2 linked regions of the Kluyveromyces lactis genome follow. The protein of the gene in region 1 binds, or shares a complex with, the protein of each later gene. Links are inferred from orthologs where the notes say so. Each region holds a gene or a part of one and is shown on either strand. Other genes may lie near its edges. The genes, in order: BBC1 and LAS17.

Region 1 (4,452 bases):
ACAGGGACACCCCATTACAAACGATCCGTTTTATAACCTTGATAACTCAACGTACCCATTACGGTCAAGGTTTATTATTGAGACCCCAGATTGGACTCAACTAACAAACGAAAGAATCGAAAAGCTACGGAAGCGGTTCGAGGTTGAACTGGATGATGTCTGGGATCAATTGAATGAAAATCAAGAACGATGTCCTGAATGCGACGAAGAAATGCCAAAAGATCCAACTCCAGAATCGTTAGAGCTATATCTACATGCTTGGAGATACAAAGGTTTGGATTTGGAGTTTGAAACAGATTATCCCTACTGGGCGAAGTTCGAAAATGAGAAACAAGCTTAACATCAAGTTTTGAGTTGTTTCTTTATTCATGTATTTAACTTTTTTAGTATCCTTCTCAATCAATATTGTATATACTATATATTTATTCAAATAGCAGCATATGTGTTCTTGCATTTGTTCTTCAAGAGGTCAATTTGTTTTACTTCCTTGTATCATTCTTACCAACCAATGTCCTTGCGATGTACTGGCTTGGCCACCTTTAACTTTCCTTTAGTCAAGTTTTCAAGTGGATACATAGATACTTTGCACTCACCACCAAGCTCTTCAATCACTGATAAAGATTGAGTTTCAAGATCCACAGATTTTAGAATGGCCACAAACGGCGTTTCTATTCCCAAGCTGTACGTTAAACCATCGTCAAAGGTAAATTCAGCGTTTCTTGCAACAAGTATCAAACCTGGTACCAATTTTCCTAGCGCAGCTTCATCTATTGCGGTGTTATAAGCATGTTCAAAAACGGTGATACCGTAAGTTCTTTGAGCAATTGGTGGGACTAGATTATCTATTGGACCCAATATTTGAGGAATAAATGAATGACAAGCTTTACCAACACATTTGTTACTGTTTTCGTAAATTGTTTTGATTAACAGATCACTACCAGTACTTTGTGATGAGGAGGGAATATAGTCCTGATGGGAAATTGCTGTCTCAATTGGATTCTTTGGATCATATACAACATATGCTTGAATTTGAGAGTAATCTTCGAACAAGAACTGGAAATCTCTGACAACCAACTTATTTGTATTCCTTCTTTCAACTATGTGATCCTGAGATTCCCAGATGTATTTTACTTTGCTTGGTTTAACAGTATCAGCCTGAACTGTCTTAGTTAACCACCAAGTACTTTGCTTTGAGAACTCTAATTCTGGAATAGTACCTGGTTCAAATTTCGCCGTAGTTGTCCGTCTTAATGGCTGGAAACTGGCCGGAATTTGTGGAGCAGCAGATGAAGGAGTGGCTGGTGATGAGTTTGCTGCACCTGGAATAGTCTGAATTGAAGGTCTTCGTTGCGGTGCATTAGAAGGAGGCAATGGTGGAGGGCCGCCACTGCTTGGTACTGGAGGAGCAGGGGCAGCAGCGGGCTGTTTTGTTGGCAGTTTCTGCTCAGTGTTTTCGGTTTTAACGCTTAAAACTGGTGCTGGAGCCTTTGTTGGTAATGGTGGTACAGGTACGCTTGAAGGAACAGGAGGAATTGGTGCACCTGTTGGAATTGGCGGGACGGAAGGAGCAGATGGAATTGGAGGGGCTGCGGGCAATTTTTGTGGGGCGTTAGTAGCTTGTGGAGTTTGTGGAGTTTGTGGGGATCCCGGAGAAGTATCAATTGTATAAACATGAGTGGGCCTAATTCTTTGAGGAACAGTTGGCGACGGAGCCTCCTCTTCTTCATCTTCCACTTTCTTAGTAGTTTCATCTTCGGATTCATATCCAGAAAGGCCTTGACTTCCCTCGGGTACTTCATCTTTATGTTGGAAGTCTGGGTCTTTGTCGTAATTCACCGAACCTGTAATAGCAGGTTGAGCATCATCGACTCCATCTACAAAGCTAGATTCGCTTTCTTCGTCAGCTTGATTTTCTGGGGTTTCGGCATGACCAGAAGTTTCCACAGCAATTTCTTCAGTCTTCTTCCTAAACATTGGCAGCATCGATGGGTCGGCAAATGGCATGACAGGAACCGCTGTTGGAAGAGATGACGTTTCAGTTGGACTTTCAGATTCTTCCTTTGGTTTCTTGCTTTTGGTTGGGGTCTTCGAAGAGTCAGCAGAAGGCATTGGCATTCCAAATGGGTTGAAGTACGCATTAGGCATACCGTATCTACTTGCATTTGCTAGTCTTGCCATCTTTTCTCTTAAAGCAGCACGTCTTTGTTCCTCTTCATTTTCGTCTTCAGAAGATTCATTTTCATCATTATCATCACGATCGTCATTCTCGTTAACTGACTCCTCAGGAATAGAGTAGGTACGCTGAGGGTGAGAGCCAATTGAAGCAGTATCATTAGGAATTGGTGGAGCTGTGTGAATGCTAGAAGTACTGACATCAACTTCTGGATTTTCAGCATCGGAATCTTCAATAACAGAGGCATCATAACTTTCCCTTTTTTCAATATTAACTGGAGAAGTTGCACTAGCAGTAGCAACGCTGCCGGTTGGGGACGACACACTAGAAATACTTTTTTTCCGCTTATGCAAAGTTTCCGCCTGTTCCTGTTGTTGTTTCTGCATATGCTGTAACATGGATATCCTTTGCTGCAAGGACATTTTAGATTCCGACTTAGCCTCCTTTACCAAATCATCGCTATTAACAAAACCACTCCTCTCAGTATCACCAGAACCTTCTTGAAACGACAGACTATTTCTCAACTGTCTGACATTATCCTGAGAAACCTTTCCCTTCTGGACTGGTGCAGTTGCAGCTGCAGCATTTGGATTGACAGTCTGTGTTTCCGGAATCTTGACCGGAGTTTCCACATTTGGTTTCTCCTCTGGCTGCTTCTCTTGAGCAGGCTCACTAGCAGTTTCCTTCAAAGGTTCACTAACAAAACCTTTGGGGAAAATACCTTGCTTTGTTTTACCATCAGCATCCTTAAACTCACCAAAGAACCACTCATCGTCTTCTATTTCAAGCACCGTAATGATCTGACCTTTGGAAAATGGTAAATCATCCTCAAAATCTGAGGTGTATGGAAACAATGCCTCGACCTTAAATGGCACAGACATCTTTAACACGTAATCTAGTTTCGAGAACTGTTCTTCTAGTAAGCTGGTCCTTTTATTTCACTCGCCGAGTGTTCTTTGTTAAAGGGGTGGTGAAAAGTTCGCGATATAAGGAATCGTTTTAATTTCAAAGGCTTTAGTAACATTTTTCCAAACAATTTTAAAGGATTAGATTTCACCGAAAGGTAGATAACGAACGAATGATAGACTTCACGTCAATTGAAAGGCATATATGAACGTTCAATCAGCAGGTGAGGGTTGCAGAACTTATGACTGATTGGATAAGGCATGACATTGAATTCGAATACTCGTTTGGCGAGATTCATTCGATTTTTAGCGTACGACTATGATTCGGAAATTGATAGAAACGCTTTGTATCGTCGCATCGTTGGAGTTATTGGTGTTAATGGGTTTATAGCATTGTTAAAAAAGCACCGGAAGTTAACGGCCAGTTCATTATTCGATGGTTTGCCTATCGTTGTTGCTATACCGTTACTGAGAAGGATAATTCGTCAAAGACATGCCAGCTGGTTCCTGGGTTTAACGATTGGTCTCTCGCAGCTCAAGGCTAAGCTACCGCATTGGATTGTTTCATACTGGGCTGTAGAATCTGTTGTAGATCAAATCAAGCTCTGGGTTGATTATTCCAGTATAAGCGAACGCCGTTGGATTCTTCTCAGGCAATTGGCAGCTAGTCTCTTGATACCAATCCTATACCACAGAAATCAATCGAAGGGGAGATTATACAGGATATTATTCGAGACTAGAAAACCTTGGAAGGACTTCCTTTTGTTATTTGTCGCATGGAATGTCGTCAAGACTTATAAGAATGTGAAATCCATCCTTTTGAAAGAGAAGCTTAAGAAGAATAAAGTGAATACTTCCTCAATGACGTTCGATTCAGAGGCAAAGGAATCTCAGACACAACATGGTTCAATGACAAGGATACTCATGCAAAGGTTAGAAGAGTTAAATGAGTTATCCGATAAGAAATCAAGCGGGTCGGTCAAAGAACGAGTGTATGGTTATTTCTTCAGTGACAATTTTATCAAATGTGTAAAATGGACGCTCTGGAGACAGGTGGTGATGTTAATCTTCAACGGTCAACATTCCAAATGTCTAAAGCCATTACATAAATCGATCATCATCATGTTGTCATTCACTTTGCTGAGCGACCCACAACATTTAGATATTAACTGGGAGCTACTCAAATACTTGGGGAGATCAACGTTATCTCAAGAACTTGGTAGGATACCACATTATCAAAAACCAATCATTTTCGCTGCCCTTAGTCTCTCATATCTAACCAGGAACCCAATTGCCTAATAAACAGACTGATTTGTTCCTAGTTTGATTTGTATCAATATGCGTGTGTTCCTTTTCTAATTAGAGTCTTTTCGT
Region 2 (4,244 bases), on another chromosome or scaffold:
TTGCCTTTGGCTTGACAGGATTCGATGTCAGCTGCAATTGAAGGACAATGCAATAAACCATCGTCAAAGGTGGTTGAGCAAGCAGAAGCAAAATCAATAGCTAGGTTGTCAGGGAACTGGTATAGGAAGGATAAGACGACAACATCAACATTGTCCGAAGCACAATAAGTACCTAACGATTCTTGAGTGCCTGCAGAGGCTTGGCCCCAATACACAGCGACGTTATCTTTAGCGTTTATGTCAAATGCCGAGGTGAGCAAAAGTTGAACCAAAGACAACAGAAGTAAACGAGGGTGAAACATTGTAGATTCTGTTAATACTTTTAAAGGAATGAATGGAGGGTGTTCTCTAATTTCAATACTAGTATCCTGCGAATGTCAGAATATGTAATCCTTTAATAAAGAGTGACAGATTAAAATTTAAAGGCTTGTATAGAGAGATAGCACACGCACACAGGTAAGTACTGTTATGGTAGTATTAGTAATTTTTGATATCTTGTATTTCTGGTGACCAGTTTAACACAATGATTGATAGTTGCATTACTGGTACCTCATCCTGCCATTGTTGTGCCCTTTATATACCAGAAATCACAAAATATGACATCGAGCTGGACCCCAGCACTTGTTTCAAACATTCCAAAGCATGTAAACAAACACACCACAGAAAGCATTCTCAAACACTTGCTCCTGCTCACTGTTTATGTTTACTCTGTTTCGTTTCGTTTTGTTTCGCAACATCCAAAAGCTGTTCCTGTAATATGCTAAAACATAATTTCGTGTCAAAAAAGTGCCTAGGAAAAAGAATTCTTTTTGGAAGAGTTTTACGCTGGACTAAAGAGAAGAAAGCATTTACGTTTAACGTAACTGTAAACAAGACACAAAATGTAAACCCAATCACGCCGCCTGTTGTAAACTATTTCACATCATAAGCACGCAATCCAAACACCGTCCACCTGCAAAAAAAAACCATCTTTCGATGTTTCTCCCTCTGATCTCTTCGAGCATGTAGCTGTTGTTTACCTTTTGAATACCGCATGCTGGTTGCCAAAAAAACCCAGCATAAAGCGATCAACACGTACAAAGTGATTCTGACTTTTGTCAGATGCTGCAGTGCCAGACGGTTCCTGGGTCAGGACAGAAATTCTTCTGCCATTGTGCCGCTGTAACCACGTCCACATGCGTCGGCCAGATGTATCAGTAAACAGAACTCTTAATTTTTCTCCGTATTATGTTCGAATGCGTGTTCGTACTGAAATGCTTCTTGTCTTTCCTGTACCTTGCAGTGACCTAAATGGGCACACTGTATTCCCATTTACAAATGGTCTGTTAGTACTTTTGAATTCAATATGGCAACTTGAACAAACCCCATTGTGTAAAGGTCCTTTTTTTTTTATCTCTCTCGCAGTTCTGTTGGTCCCTTCTTCTTTCACTGAATCACTCTGTGAATTATAGGGGAATAATGCCGTATTAAGAATCGCTTCAACTTTCAATATTGAAAAATTGAAAAGTTGCGAAATGTTAAACAGACCGAAAACTTAAGAACCGTAAATTATAGTCAGCCAAACCCCCCCACTCCCTAAAGTGCATCGCGCGTTTGTGTTATTTTCATTAGAACCCATCGGTAGCTGCCTCCGTCAAGAATTGATTTCAAGTTGAACGAGTTTACACTTCTTTTGAGAAATTAATAATCATAAAGCAGTTGTTTCCGAGTATACTATGGGAGGCTTGAATTCTGCTGAGAAAGAAAAGGTTAAACATGCTTTGCCCAAGGCTTCTAACAAGATTATAGATGTTACTATCGCTAGGTTATACATTGCATACCCTAATCCAGAGAAATGGGTTTATACTGGCTTATCTGGTGCCATTGCATTGGTGGACGATATCGTTGGTAATACTTTCTTTTTGAAGTTGATCGACGTGCATGGGCATCGAGGTGTTCTCTGGGATCAAGAATTGTACGTGAACTTTCAATATAACCAGGATCGTACTTTCTTTCATACCTTTGAATTAGAACAATGTAACGCCGGGTTGTTATTCACCGATATTGGCGATGCTTCACATTTTTTGAAACGAGTACAGAAACGGGAGAAATACGCGTCCAAGAAGACCTTGGCCAACAAGAATGCAATTGCATTAGAGGACCAAATTAAGAAAGAGGAAGAGAGTAAAGTGATCCATGGTCCAAGAGGCGAATCCTTGATCAGTGACCAAAGGGTCAGATATAGATATGAACCGGAAAAGCACGAGCACCGCCAGGAACACCATTACGAGCAGCCCAGCCAGAATTATGCTTCAACTGAAAACTCAGCTTCAGATGCAAGTGCCGCTCCTCCTTCTTTTGCCTCGAAACCACCGCCACCGCCTGTCGAGAAACAACCTCCTCCTCCTGTGAGCATCCCATCTTATAAGTACGACTCTATTCCATCATTCCCAAGCTCTCCTGCACCTCCATCGGTTTCCTCTACTCATTCTCCTACCCCGGATTCATCCTATGCATCAACACCAGCACCAAGTAATCCTCCTCCACCAATAAACCACCCGGTACATGCAGTTCCTCCTCCTTTACCAGCAGAACAATATCGTCCACTGGCTCAGTCACCTCATCCGCAATTCCAGCAGCAGCATAATTCTCCTTCACCTGCAGCACCTCCTTCGATTCCGCCTATGCAGCAAAGCGTTGCAATCCCTCCTCCACCTTCCCATCCAGCTCAACAACAAAACGTCACTAATAACAACACTCCTCAGTTTGGACAATATTCTGTTGCTGGTCTGCAACCACCTCCGAGACCAACTTCAACGAGACCTGGTATTGCTCCTCCAGTTTCGAGGCGTGGTCCGGTACCACCTCCCCCTCCAAGACGCTCAGCTGCTCCGCCGTCCATTCCTTCAAGAGGTCCTCTACCTAATGCTCCAACTGGCGGTCAGCATAGTCGTACTGGAAGAGGGCCTCCACCACCACCACCACCTAGACGTGGTGGCCAGGCTCCTTCTCCACCTGCAAGCAGAGGTACAACTCATAACTCAGCCATCGGCCCTCCCCAGCCCCAGCTTCCACCACAAATGCAATCTCCTCCTCTTCAACAGCATAATACCTACAATGCAGCGCCTCCTGTTCAGCAATATCAACCACCACAGCAAACCGCATACATTCCGCCTCCCCCTGTCTTACCACCCCACTCAGGTGTAAGCACTCAGTATCACCCATCGACCGAGCCTATGTTAGCCCAACCCCAGCATCATATAGCGGTACCTAATGGCACTGCACCTCCCCCAGCACCTCCTGCCCCTCCGGCACCTTTTGCTCCACAGATAACGAACTCAGCGCCCGCACCACCACCACCTCCTCCTCCTCCTCCAGCCCCTGCATTTAATCAACCTGAAGCAGGATCTGGTTTTGTTGAAAATACTGGTGATGCTGGAAGGGATGCCTTATTAGCATCGATTCGTGGAGCTGGTCTGAATTCCCTCCGTAAGGTGGATAAATCTCAACTTGAAAAGCCAAGTCCTTTGTTACAAGAAGTTCGTAGTGATGCGCCGGTATCTCAACCCACAGGCGGGTCAACTGGCGGACCTGTTGGTGCTCCTGCGTCCTTGGCTGATGCCCTAGCTGCGGCTTTAAACCAAAGAAAGAATAAAGTTGCTCGTGACGATGATATAGACAACGGTGATGATTGGTGAAAGTAATTCACCCTACTTGAACTGCATCTGACTAGACTGTGGAATTATGATTTGGTATTTGTATGTACGGTGTACCTATATATTACTTTCAGATGCCTTTAAAACAGAAGACAGATAAAACTAAACTAATTATTCAAAGAACTCCACTTATTTGACCATACCTGTATCCATTTCAACTTGGACTCATCTGAACCGTTTAGCTGTGTAATAATTTTTATAACTTTCTTAACATCATTATTGATAGCAAGTACTGATGTTTCCACTTCTGGATCTACTTCATATTCAGCGTTCACTAAGGTGGATGAAATTAAAGTATCAGAGTTAGAAACTATTGAATTGTGGAGTTGATTTAGCTCAGATAGATATGCTGCTGTAGTTACAGTATCCTTTTTTATGGTTATCGATTTGGATAATGAACTCAACAAGAGCTTAAGGAGACGAGATTTTTGCGATAGTGATTTGACAAATTCAATCATGGATTCTGAAGCTTCCTCTTCCTCTTCTTCATCTAAATCCGTACCTTCCTCATCACTGAACTTGTCATTCATTCCGAATGGGTCTGAATTT

The links.
Region 2: the proteins of BBC1 (region 1) and LAS17 are in contact, whole or in part, in a crystal structure (PDB 1ZUK), measured with the Saccharomyces cerevisiae proteins. The link is inferred for Kluyveromyces lactis from reciprocal best matches to the Saccharomyces cerevisiae genes BBC1 and LAS17. Residues at the interface, in NP_012514.2 of Saccharomyces cerevisiae: Phe14, Tyr16, Tyr20, Asp23, Asp39, Glu41, Trp42, Ile58, Pro60, Ser62, Phe63; in NP_014824.1 of Saccharomyces cerevisiae: Arg350, Gly351, Pro352, Ala353, Pro354, Pro355, Pro356, Pro357.

Annotation. Positions count from the first base shown.
Region 1 is NC_006042.1:1,351,298-1,355,749, forward strand, and holds BBC1 (Bbc1p), read right to left. Parts: upstream 3,055-4,452; coding exon 499-3,054; downstream 1-498. Other genes in the region: pseudouridine synthase PUS6, read left to right, coding at 1-340; PEX35 (Pex35p), read left to right, coding at 3,340-4,377. UniProt on the Saccharomyces cerevisiae protein: Involved in the regulation of actin cytoskeleton.
Region 2 is NC_006039.1:433,005-437,248, forward strand, and holds LAS17 (actin-binding protein LAS17), read left to right. Parts: upstream 1-1,715; coding exon 1,716-3,677; downstream 3,678-4,244. Other genes in the region: CTS1 (chitinase), read right to left, coding at 1-302; KLLA0_C04752g (uncharacterized protein), read left to right, coding at 524-928; KLLA0_C04796g (uncharacterized protein), read right to left, coding at 3,803-4,244.